Linked DNA regions of Saccharomyces cerevisiae S288C. Changing the gene in region 3 together with the main gene of any one other region gives a genetic interaction. Each region holds a gene or a part of one and is shown on either strand. Other genes may lie near its edges. The genes, in order: RDR1, YPS6 and CIS1.

Region 1 (3,761 bases), on a different chromosome or scaffold from region 3:
CCCAGTCAATATCGAGTAGGTGAGTAGTTTCAAGATTAGATCTCTGGTGAGTTGCCTGCTCAAGCTGCTGAATTTCTTGTCTTTTTTTTTTCATGGAATCCTCAAGAAGCAGTTTTGCGGTCTTTTGTGCTTCAAAAGCAATACGTGTACCGAGAATTTGAGTAATATTATCTAACGTTTTCATGGCAGTAGCAACATGTGAAAGACTTTCCGGTGTGTCGATGGCAAGAAGGACACAGACGTACTGGAATGAGGTGCTCAACACATTCCACCATGCTTGATCCAGTTTTACAAGAGCGTATGCTGCTGATAGCGCAGTGTTGCCGATATCAATTATTTGTAAAACAACATTTTTATCAAGAATATGATTCAGCAAACGAAGTCTTCTATACAAAGAGAGGCATATATCACCCTTGGTCAACGACAAAAACGGATGTGCGTTTGGTGATTCATGAACGGCCGCCAGGGCCTGCAACAATTGCGCTGCGTTTGCGTTCACGCTGTCTTGGGGAATCAGGTGTGCTAACGCGACTAAATGAGCTGTAAAATTACCGTCCGTCTCCTTAACTGGCTTGCAAGTAATTCTATTCAGCGTAACACTTGAGCGCCCATAGTCATATGAAAGAATGGTATTGATTGACCATGCACACCAAAATAATCTTCTAGTGTGTTCGCTCACTACAGTAGTTCTTTTTGGTGGAACGTTGTTCGATATCGCTATATCCTCTCTGTCAATCTCATGATGCAGGCCAATTGCCTCAGAAAGATGGATGGTTACGCAGCTAGCTAACCATGCTACATGGGGCCTCGAAGTGGCTCGCAGGTAAATGGTGCGCAAAACCCATGCGGAGACTTGCTCCACCGTGGGAATGCGACTGAAAGTCGGGTCATCAAGGATCCCTTTGGCATATTGTACTATATCCATCTCTCGGGGATGGCCAAGACTTCCCATAAAAAATGATCCTAAAGCTATCACCCCTGCAATAACAGCCCCATACTCTAAGGTTTTTACGTCGCCATCCCAGTATTTTTCAACATTCTTTGCCAGTTGCTCTGGATTAACAACATCAAATATCGGGTGAACAACTGAAAAATAAACTTTTGAGATACGGTAATACTCTTCCTTTGTAACTAAATCAGAAAGAAGGACATGTGAGTTTGGATTTTCTTCCGGTCTGATTCCGCAATGCCAAGCGAAGGAATGTAGGCGTGGAGGATTAGTTGATCGGAGTTCGAGACCAAGACAGCGGGGGAAAGCAACTGCAGAGTGCTGGATCGTGTACCTAGACTTAGTTGGATCTACAATGTTTTGACTTGTAACGTTCTGTGTATTTATAGGCTGCGGTTGTTCGTTTCTATGTATACCCGGAAGAACAAAAGGTCTGCTCTCCGTATCAGGAGATGTTTCACCTACTTGTTGCACTTGAGGTGATGCCGAAGGGACACGACCGTCAATATAATGACATACATATCCATAGGCAACGCACATTTCACATGGAGATTTGCCATTACATTTCCTTTTACGTTCCCTACAGGGCACGCAAGCCTTTCGGACTCTTTGTCGCTTGTGTGGTAATGCTGTCGATCCTGGGGATGCCATTTGGTGAGCTTAAAGTAGGAAAGTGTGCGCTAAGTTATCTTACTGAAGTTCTTTCAGGTTTCTACTTGAAAAAATAATGTATCTTTTCACTCGAGAATGGCCTCTTGTAATTTTCATATTTATCGCACGATACGGGATATACTGGCTCCTCTCTATCACTTTGATCGTACTATATTTATTTCTATTAGTTTGGGTTATATACCACGATGAAGTATTTCTCTATATATGAACTTATTCTATAAAATGCTGCTTTTCGGAGATCCTTTTTTTAGACTTCATAAAAGTGCTCCATGCATACGTTGCTGCGACAAAAATGCCAAGTCCGCTCAACCCGATGCCCATGTACCACGAACAACGATATCCTTTCAAAGGCTTGGCACCTCCGTCATTTACTCTAGATTCAATTGTACCTGCAATACCCAAACCTATCGATATCGAATAGTTTACCACCGTATTAACCAAAGAGGCTGCAAGACCTTGATGTTCGTGTGGCATCGAGTCACTAAGCATTATTGTAGCGGCCGGAAAGGACATGTCCATTCCCCAAGGCATAACAATGATTGACACAAACGTTTGAGCCCAATACGTTTGGTGAACGGGGGCCGTAGCAATCAATATAGTTCCGACTGTGAAAGCTGTCATCGCAAAAAGCATAACTGTGCTTGGGGGTGTATGGCTTAGAAGGAAACCTGTCGTCACGGCTGCACAAAATCCACTGATTGCTACAGGTGAAAACTGTGCACTAGAAAGAAGGGGGGTTTGGCCCCTTGAGTCTTCCATGAACTGCCATGTATAGAATATCCAAATACCAAAGCTGGCCCATCCCGCAGCTATGCAGCTAAGTACAAAAGCAGTATCACTAGAAAGAGCAGCAAATGGTAGCAGAGGGAAAGCTGCTCGGGACTCGATATATGCAAAAATAACCAAGAAAAAGGTACCAACTATCAAAAGAGCGTATGTGTATGGAGTTTGCCAACCCACAACGGGGCCTTGGTTCCAAGCGAAATTAAAGAGAATTAATCCAACAACGCCGGTAACTGACCCTGCAAAATCGATTCGTTCCAACAACTTGAAAGATGAGGCATCGCGGCTTGGCATGGGGGTGTGAGGGATTACAAAGTAACCTGCTACAGCTAAAACAAAGCATGCAATACCCATTATCCAGTAAGCCCATGGCCACCACGCCAGTTGACCCAACATGGATGAGAAAACAGCCCCAAGGAAGAAGCCACCAGGTGCTGAAGCACCAAACAGACTAAAGACCATGTTTTTTCTTCTTCCTGGCTTATATGTGCGTCCGAGAATCGCAATGGCATTTGGCAACAAAAAGGCCGGACCCATGCCTTGAAATGCACGACAGCAGTCAAAAAAAATCTGATTAGAGTAGACGCTAAACCCAGCAAGTAAGGACCAAAGTGCGTACCAAAAGAAGCCAAGGACAAAGAATTTCTTGTGTCCGAAGATATCTCCGAGTCTTCCAGCAATTAAAATGAATGTACCAACAGTTAGCGAATATGCGGAAGCAAACCAACTAAGTTGTCCAGCATTCGTTGTTCCAAAACTGTTACCGATGATGTGAAGCGGCGCTAATGATTGTCCAAGTCCTGCCTGAGTCATTAGTTGGGCAGAGCACAGCACTCCGACAAAGGCACTCTCCCATAAAAGGGATTTAGGCCTCTCATCCTGAATATCAAACTCTGATAATACTTTATCCTCCTTTTTCAAGGCTTCCGCGTTTGTATCCAAGTTTTTCTGCGTTACGGAGGAGCTAGTTGACATATTGATTTTATGTTCTTTATGTTCCAGCAATTGATGAATGTACAATATTTGTTTTCTTTTCAGGTAGAGAGTGAGATAGAAGTAAGTTTCCACAAATGAAGTTATTGGAGGCTAGATATACTACTCCCTTGGTATTTAAAACTGCTGCCAAATCTCGTTTATTTTAATCCCTACCGATAGCTCATCATTGAGAGCTTCCGCAATATCCGCACATTTCGTGGAGCGCTTCACGTGAAAAGAGTGGCCCATTGAAAAAAAAGCTGAAACATTCGTAGCGACAACCCTGGCGACAAGCGTGGCGACAACCGCAATAGCCGCCACAGCCGCAATAGCTACACATCACCTTTTTGGGCTTAAAGTGGTAGGTAATTTTGCTTGGCGC
Region 2 (3,761 bases), on a different chromosome or scaffold from region 3:
ATATGTATAATCATTACGCTGTAGGTTTCTTATTTTTATATGAAGCAGTGATATATAACATAATAAAGTTTCATCGCCTTTTACACAGTATATAGGGCTTCACCTATACAGTCCCACACAGTAACACACTGCGAAACTATGTATCTCTTCTCTACTTATAAAAGAAAATAAGATATGAAGGACAATAATGAAAAGGAGAAAGAAGAACGGTATTTGTAACCTGCATTTTGTTTTTTAGTGGTGCTTTCGCTAGAGCCGCCACTACTTGAGAAAGAACTAGCATCATCGCTTTGGGCTGCGGTGGCAAGCAATGATTTGTACTGTGAAAATTCCGAATACGAGGTCCAGCTGACATTAATAAAATCTCCTGTTCCGATGGGACTACCGGGCTTATATACCCATGTACTAAAGTATCCGGGAGCAGGGGTGGCACCTGGGACAGTATCGGAGATAACCTCAATATCTTCTTCTTGATTATTAAAGCTAGCCTGAGCAATAGAAATTTCGTAGTTTTCTAAATCGTAGACTACATATGCGTCGACAAGGAAAGCATCTCCCAGCATATAAGTGGACTCGGATTGCTTAACATTTAAAACGCAACGATCCTTAGCTGATGTTACGAAATTGGATATGTTTGCCGATATATTAAATCCTCCAAAGTCGACGGACAGTAAAGTATCGTTCACTTTTGAACAATCAAAGATGTAGCCTTGGTCGTCAGAGCTGTACTCTCCGTCAAAACTTTTGCCGATTGCTTCTGCAATTTCGGTGGGTAAATAGGAGAAAGTTGTGCCAGAATCCAACATCACTGGAAATTGAATATCCGAAACAGTTTTATTGCCAGATTCACTATCCAAAATTGCCACACTTTGTGCAGTAATAATCATCCCAGGATTTGAGCCAAGGGTATTGAATGCCTGCAGCATAGGCAGGGTGTAAAGCTGTCCTGTGTACTTACTTTTGTCCACTGCACCAAACAAGATGCTCCCGAAGTGTGCATCAGGTCCATTCAAAAATAAAGAATACGCTATTTTATTAATCTTTCCCTGATTTTTTAATTCCATTGGAAAGTTATCATATATGAAAGGTGTTCTGTTCAATGCCAATGCGTATTCGATACCATCTGTAAATTCTGCAATGGGAAGCGATATGCCTAAAATGCCACTTGGATTGCCTATTGTATCATTTGATACACCAAAAGTGAAATCATTTAGAGTAATATTTTCGAAAGAGACAACATCCGTACCATAAGTCCCTGCATAATACGTACCATCTCCGTATGTGTTATTGAAAAACGTCGCATTATTCTCAAAAGTAGATGAGTTGCTTGCATCGAATGTACCCCAATAAGAGCAGAGAGTGTTATAAGCTTCTGATGAGATGGTAGTCGAAGGAAGCCCATTGAACGTTGCTGTGAGCTCGTAATTATCAGTTGAAGCGTAGTCAGATCCGTCAGACATCGATTTGCAATAGGCAATGTCAGCATTATTCACAATCATATCTGAAGAGCCAGTATCTAACTGTAGGTACAACGTTTGTGGAGGCGTTCCGATTTCCATCTTGACAACATACACTCCTATTCCATTTATCACTGTGGTGTTAAGAACCTCATTTCTTTTGAAGACGGTAGAAACATCCTGTGTGCATATATTTATAATATCAGCCAACTTTTGAACAGGAAACTTAACATAGGAACTTGCGGAAGACCCTAAAACGGTCAATGAACACATCAATGATGACAACAAAGAGAGGATGGAAATCAATTGCATATTGATAGCTTTGCGTTGTCTTCAAATATCCTTATTTTCGAAAGAGACAAAATTTAACAACTGATCAACCAATGAAAAAAGAGAACAAGGAAGAACGATGAAAAACCCTATTCCAAGATCATAACACCTTATATACTCTCAACTTTGAAAGCAGTTCCAAAGCTTAAATCCTCGAAGAGTACTGCTTGCATGAGGTTTACGCAACAGGTCTAGTCAGTTTTAACTCCTCGGATATCTCGAGATATTTTGCTGTAGTGAGCGACAGGGTAGCAAATTTTTGGACCCTTAACCCCTTATACAAATTACCACCATATGTTCCTTTTCTGCAGCGAAAACCTCGGTGTTGTCAGAAACAATTTAAGAAAAGCACAGGCGAAATTGGGCTTGCACTGGGTGATCAACAATGCCAGAAATAAATGAGAAGCTTTTTACTCTTGCTTTTGCTTCTTCCTCTTTATGTTCAAGCCAGCCAAGCTATGTTATAGTGTTGAATGTCTTGAACCGTTATAGTTTCTAAAAATAACTTTACATTTTGTTATGCAATCTTCATCATCTCGAACTTTTCAACAAACGTTCAACAGTGATGGTCTTCCCCAGTGAACCAAAAGACATATGACGCTCGTATGGTATGTTAAAAACAACATAGAGGATAGTAGGTCGGGGTTTATTGTAGAAAGGACATAAATAGTTGACGTGGTAAATTTTCATCAACTAAAGCCACATCTATTTTGCCAAGTAGGAGATAATGTAATATGTAGAGGGATCGAGATTTACTGAAGCCTCACGTGAGGGCAATCTGGAATCAGATTGCACTGGTTTGCACCATACCTCTCAAAGAAGAAAACGTACTACTTTTTTAGTTGAGTATGGATAGGGTAGTGTTTCCTAAAGTTATAAGGTAAAAGGGGCAGAGGAAAAGTCGATAATAATTTGAAAGAAACTTGCTTCCATATTCACAAAGGAGCTGGATACTTCATGTCATCCGCACATATATCTACAAAAATTTCAACTTTTTGAGGTTGATACTAAGTCTTTCGCTACCAAAATGAAAGAAATCAATTTGGAGAGACTTAGGCTGAATATTTCCGCGTTCTCTCTGGGGATGAAAGATTTCTTACTGCAAAGAGTTTCAGTATTTACGGATTGGTTACAATTTTTTTTTTTTATCATAATCAATTCTTTGAATATCAACTTCTCTCAATACCATCCGCCTCTCAGCGGCTACAATTACGTAATTGCACCAAGGCCTTCGCCGAGAGTTTACATATTTGCAGACCCTAACAGTATACGACTCCCAACACACGTTTAATGTTGTACGAATTCAAGAGATAGAAATATTTCTTGCATGGAAGCCGTTTAGAGCAGACTGAATATGGGCTTAGACAATAAGCTTCTGTACGAGGGTCCAAATCTAAAATTCGGATATTCTTTTTGACCGAAAAAGGAAATGTCACAGGCACAGAAAAGGGTTTTATAAGGCACCTCGGCACCCTATAATTGGCATTCCCACATTCTGCGCATACGAATACACATGAGTGCCATAAAACAATACTCCACATACGAAGTCTATGAAAGATGTATGATTCGTTCAGAAACAAGGTCATCTCCATAGAGATAATGAGATTGTGTGAAAGATGAGATATGGAGGATATGTGAGGTGCTAAATGAGCACCTGTTAACGAATCGTTTAAGTAGTGATGACTGATGAAGGCATGGGTATAAATAGAGCTGCTTCAACTGTATGTCTTTGAGAATATGTTTTTATTCCTTTCTTTCCTGTTAAGCTTATATCAGCACTAAAAAACAAAACAAATATAATGGTCAAATTAACTTCAATCGCTGCTGGTGTCGCCGCCATCGCTGCTGGTGTTGCCGCTGCCCCAGCCACTACCACTCTATCTCCATCTGACGAAAGAGTTAACTTGGTCGAATTGGGTGTTTACGTCTCCGATATCAGAGCTCATTTGGCCCAATACTACTTGTTTCAAGCAG
Region 3 (2,840 bases):
CGATACTGCACTCTTTTTTTCAAAAGAAGGTATTAAAGTTCAGCAACGGTCAGAGTTGAGACAGTTGAACCCAGGAAGTATTGCTGATCTTACTGATCAACAGATAATGGACAAATTTCCATCAGAATATAAAGAATCATTAAAAGACCCATATCATTTTCGATTCCCTAGGGCGGAATCTTACCATGACTTAGCCGTTCGTATGGAACCTTTACTATTAGAAATGGAGCATACGAGCAAGGACATTCTCATCATTGCACATGAGTCAACATTAAGAGTATTATATGGCTATTTAATGGCTTGCACCTGCGTAGAGTTACCAAATCTAAATTTCACAAGAGACAAATTAGTTGAAATTTCATTCAGCCCTTTCTGTAATACTGTAGAGTTACTGAACATTCCTTTAACTAGCTAATATACTGGAGTTGCATCGTTGATGTGTATTATCTATATTCAAAATAGTTATTTTTATGTTTAAGAAAGGATTAAGAACAATTGAAAAAAAATTACCATTAGCAACGAATATTAAATTGTAAATTATTTAGAGATATTTTTCTATAATATGCTCGCCTACCATTCTCTTTTATACAATATTTAGGTTTTACCTGGAGGCTAAAATGATATGAGGGGACGATAGCTTAACATGATTGTGACACAAACTTTAAAAAAGGCTTTCAGTTGAAGAGTTTTCTTCCGCTATAGTCTCCAATGCTATCTTACTTTTCTTATTACGTTTATGTCTACCTTTCATATCATTTCTTGTAAGCAACTCCTGCATTTCCGCTTCCTGGGCAGCCTTGAGTAAATCATATCTGGTAATTTTATCAGGTTTATTGCTCACATATCTGCCTGAACCAACAACGTTGATATATTTCCATGGACATGCTACCCACTCTGCAATAGTGGAAGCTGAATTGATTGTGTTTTTTGAAACTAACCCGATGGGACAATTACTGATCGATTGCATTATTAAAGGTGATAAATAATCCTTTGTTATTTGTGCCCCTTAAAATTCATATACACTTTATGTTTAATTCGACAGGTATAACAGAAAGAAACAAGGAAAACAATGCAATTAATCATTAACTGCACCAACTTTTATATGAATATATTGTGCTACATGTCTTAATTAGTCCTCTGTGAATGAGCATCACAAAGAATCACGAGGAAAAGATTGATTACTTAATATTGATAGGAATCAGCCGCGGAAATGGAAATCTTGGTAATATAATTTTAATGCGGCACGCTGAAAATTGATGGCGGCCTGCTAGGAGCCCTATTGATTCCGCGGAAATAGGCGGATTATTACAAACGTTGAGCATTCAGCAGGTGCGGCTGTGCCTTTTCACTTTCAGCTAAGATGTTTGCAAGCAAGAATTAACAGATAAGCCGCTTCGCTAGTAACGCAACTCATTGTGTTTTTAATGGAAGCTAAGGATGGTTGAAATTATGGGTACCCTGAGATAAGATTATTAACTATGATGTAAGTATTAATCATTATAATAAGGGGTACCTGCTCATTCGCATTACCATACATTGACTATTAACGAGCAGAAAGTTTTTGGAAGTTTTGCAGATGAAGTGCATGTTTGATAATTTGAATATGCGGATTTCCTTATTCAAAACTTTCTTTATGCATAGAGCTAATTAGGTTTGAGTTAAGGAAAAAAATCTATCATAAGTGTCTTGAGGTATTTACTATAATGTATACGGGAAATATTAGGTGTGATAGGCTCTAGGAACGAATATTAATATTGGGGGGGGGAAACTGGAATGAAATTAAACAAAAGCAAAAAAATCTAAAAGAAGAAAAAAAGGAGAGAGAGAGAGAGAGAGAGAGAGAGAGAGAGAGAGAGAGAGAGAGAGAGAGAGAGAGAGAGATGAGGGTTATTGATAATATAATATAATAATAAAAGAGAAGATAGTAGAAAAGGAAGAAAGAAAAAAAAAAATTAAGATGTACTTTAATAAAAAGAGGGAAATTCTAAAAAGTGCGACTGGAATTAGAAGAATGCAGGTATTTTGTTTTCTCTCCTATGACGGAGAAGGTAACAAAATCATAAAGGTAAAATAACAAATTAATTATGATCAAAGAGAAATGCCCTTTGTAAACCGTGGTTTGTAAATGCGTTGGTAACTGCAGCAGATGTTAAGAAACAAAGATGGAAAAGAACCAAAATCAGCTTGTAAGTTCTATCGTAATTATAAGGATAATTGACGCTTCTGTTGCTCTCTAGCCCATCTTGCTGTATCTTTTGTGGCTTGACTGAACAATTGGCCACTCCTAGTTCTTTTAATGTAATCAATAACCCAGTCTTGTCCATAAAATTGTTTGATTGAGCCGTCTGGAAACATCGCTGCTATATCACCAATCAATCCGACTGCTGCTCTTGAGGTAGCATCCTCACTGTACAGCTGAGGATCTTCTGCAACTTGTGCAATGAACTGGAATATAGTACCAACATAAGGGAACAGAGCTTCAGGTTTATCATGAAGACCCGCTACTATACCCACATAAGCATCTAGTACTGCTTCTAGTACTTTTATTTGATAATCAAGGGCTTCTAATGTGCCGTTTTCCGGCTTCGTGTTTTGGGCAGCAACACACAACGCCATGATGTCATTCAAGTAGGGAATAAAATCAGCACCTATATTGGAAGCAATATCACCGAACACGCTCAAGACGGCTGGTTTCAACTCTCTCCTTGCATTTGGATTAGAGATCATTTGAGCCAAGACATTCATCATAGCATCGGAATATCTTCTGAAATCTTCTTCTAACGAATTTGAAATATCAGCGATGAAGCCCACTGCGGTGATTGAAACTGGCGAATCTACTT

What was found.
Region 1: mutations in CIS1 (region 3) and RDR1 together harm fitness more than expected from each alone (negative genetic interaction), as found in Saccharomyces cerevisiae (one large-scale study listed by BioGRID).
Region 2: mutations in CIS1 (region 3) and YPS6 together harm fitness more than expected from each alone (negative genetic interaction), as found in Saccharomyces cerevisiae (one large-scale study listed by BioGRID).

What each region holds. Positions count from the first base shown.
Region 1 is NC_001147.6:1,049,129-1,052,889, reverse strand, and holds the start of RDR1 (Rdr1p), read right to left. Parts: upstream 1,601-3,761; coding exon 1-1,600. Other genes in the region: AMF1 (Amf1p), read right to left, coding at 1,832-3,379. UniProt on the Saccharomyces cerevisiae protein: Transcriptional repressor of multidrug resistance genes, such as PDR5. Required for growth on non-fermentable carbon sources like lactate or glycerol.
Region 2 is NC_001141.2:430,343-434,103, forward strand, and holds YPS6 (aspartyl protease), read right to left. Parts: upstream 1,770-3,761; coding exon 156-1,769; downstream 1-155. Other genes in the region: seripauperin PAU15, read left to right, coding at 3,587-3,761.
Region 3 is NC_001144.5:821,626-824,465, forward strand, and holds CIS1 (Cis1p), read right to left. Parts: upstream 968-2,840; coding exon 662-967; downstream 1-661. Other genes in the region: YLR345W (bifunctional fructose-2,6-bisphosphate 2-phosphatase/6-phosphofructo-2-kinase), read left to right, coding at 1-415; KAP95 (karyopherin beta), read right to left, coding at 2,203-2,840. UniProt on the Saccharomyces cerevisiae protein: Mitochondrial protein that is involved in citrinin resistance.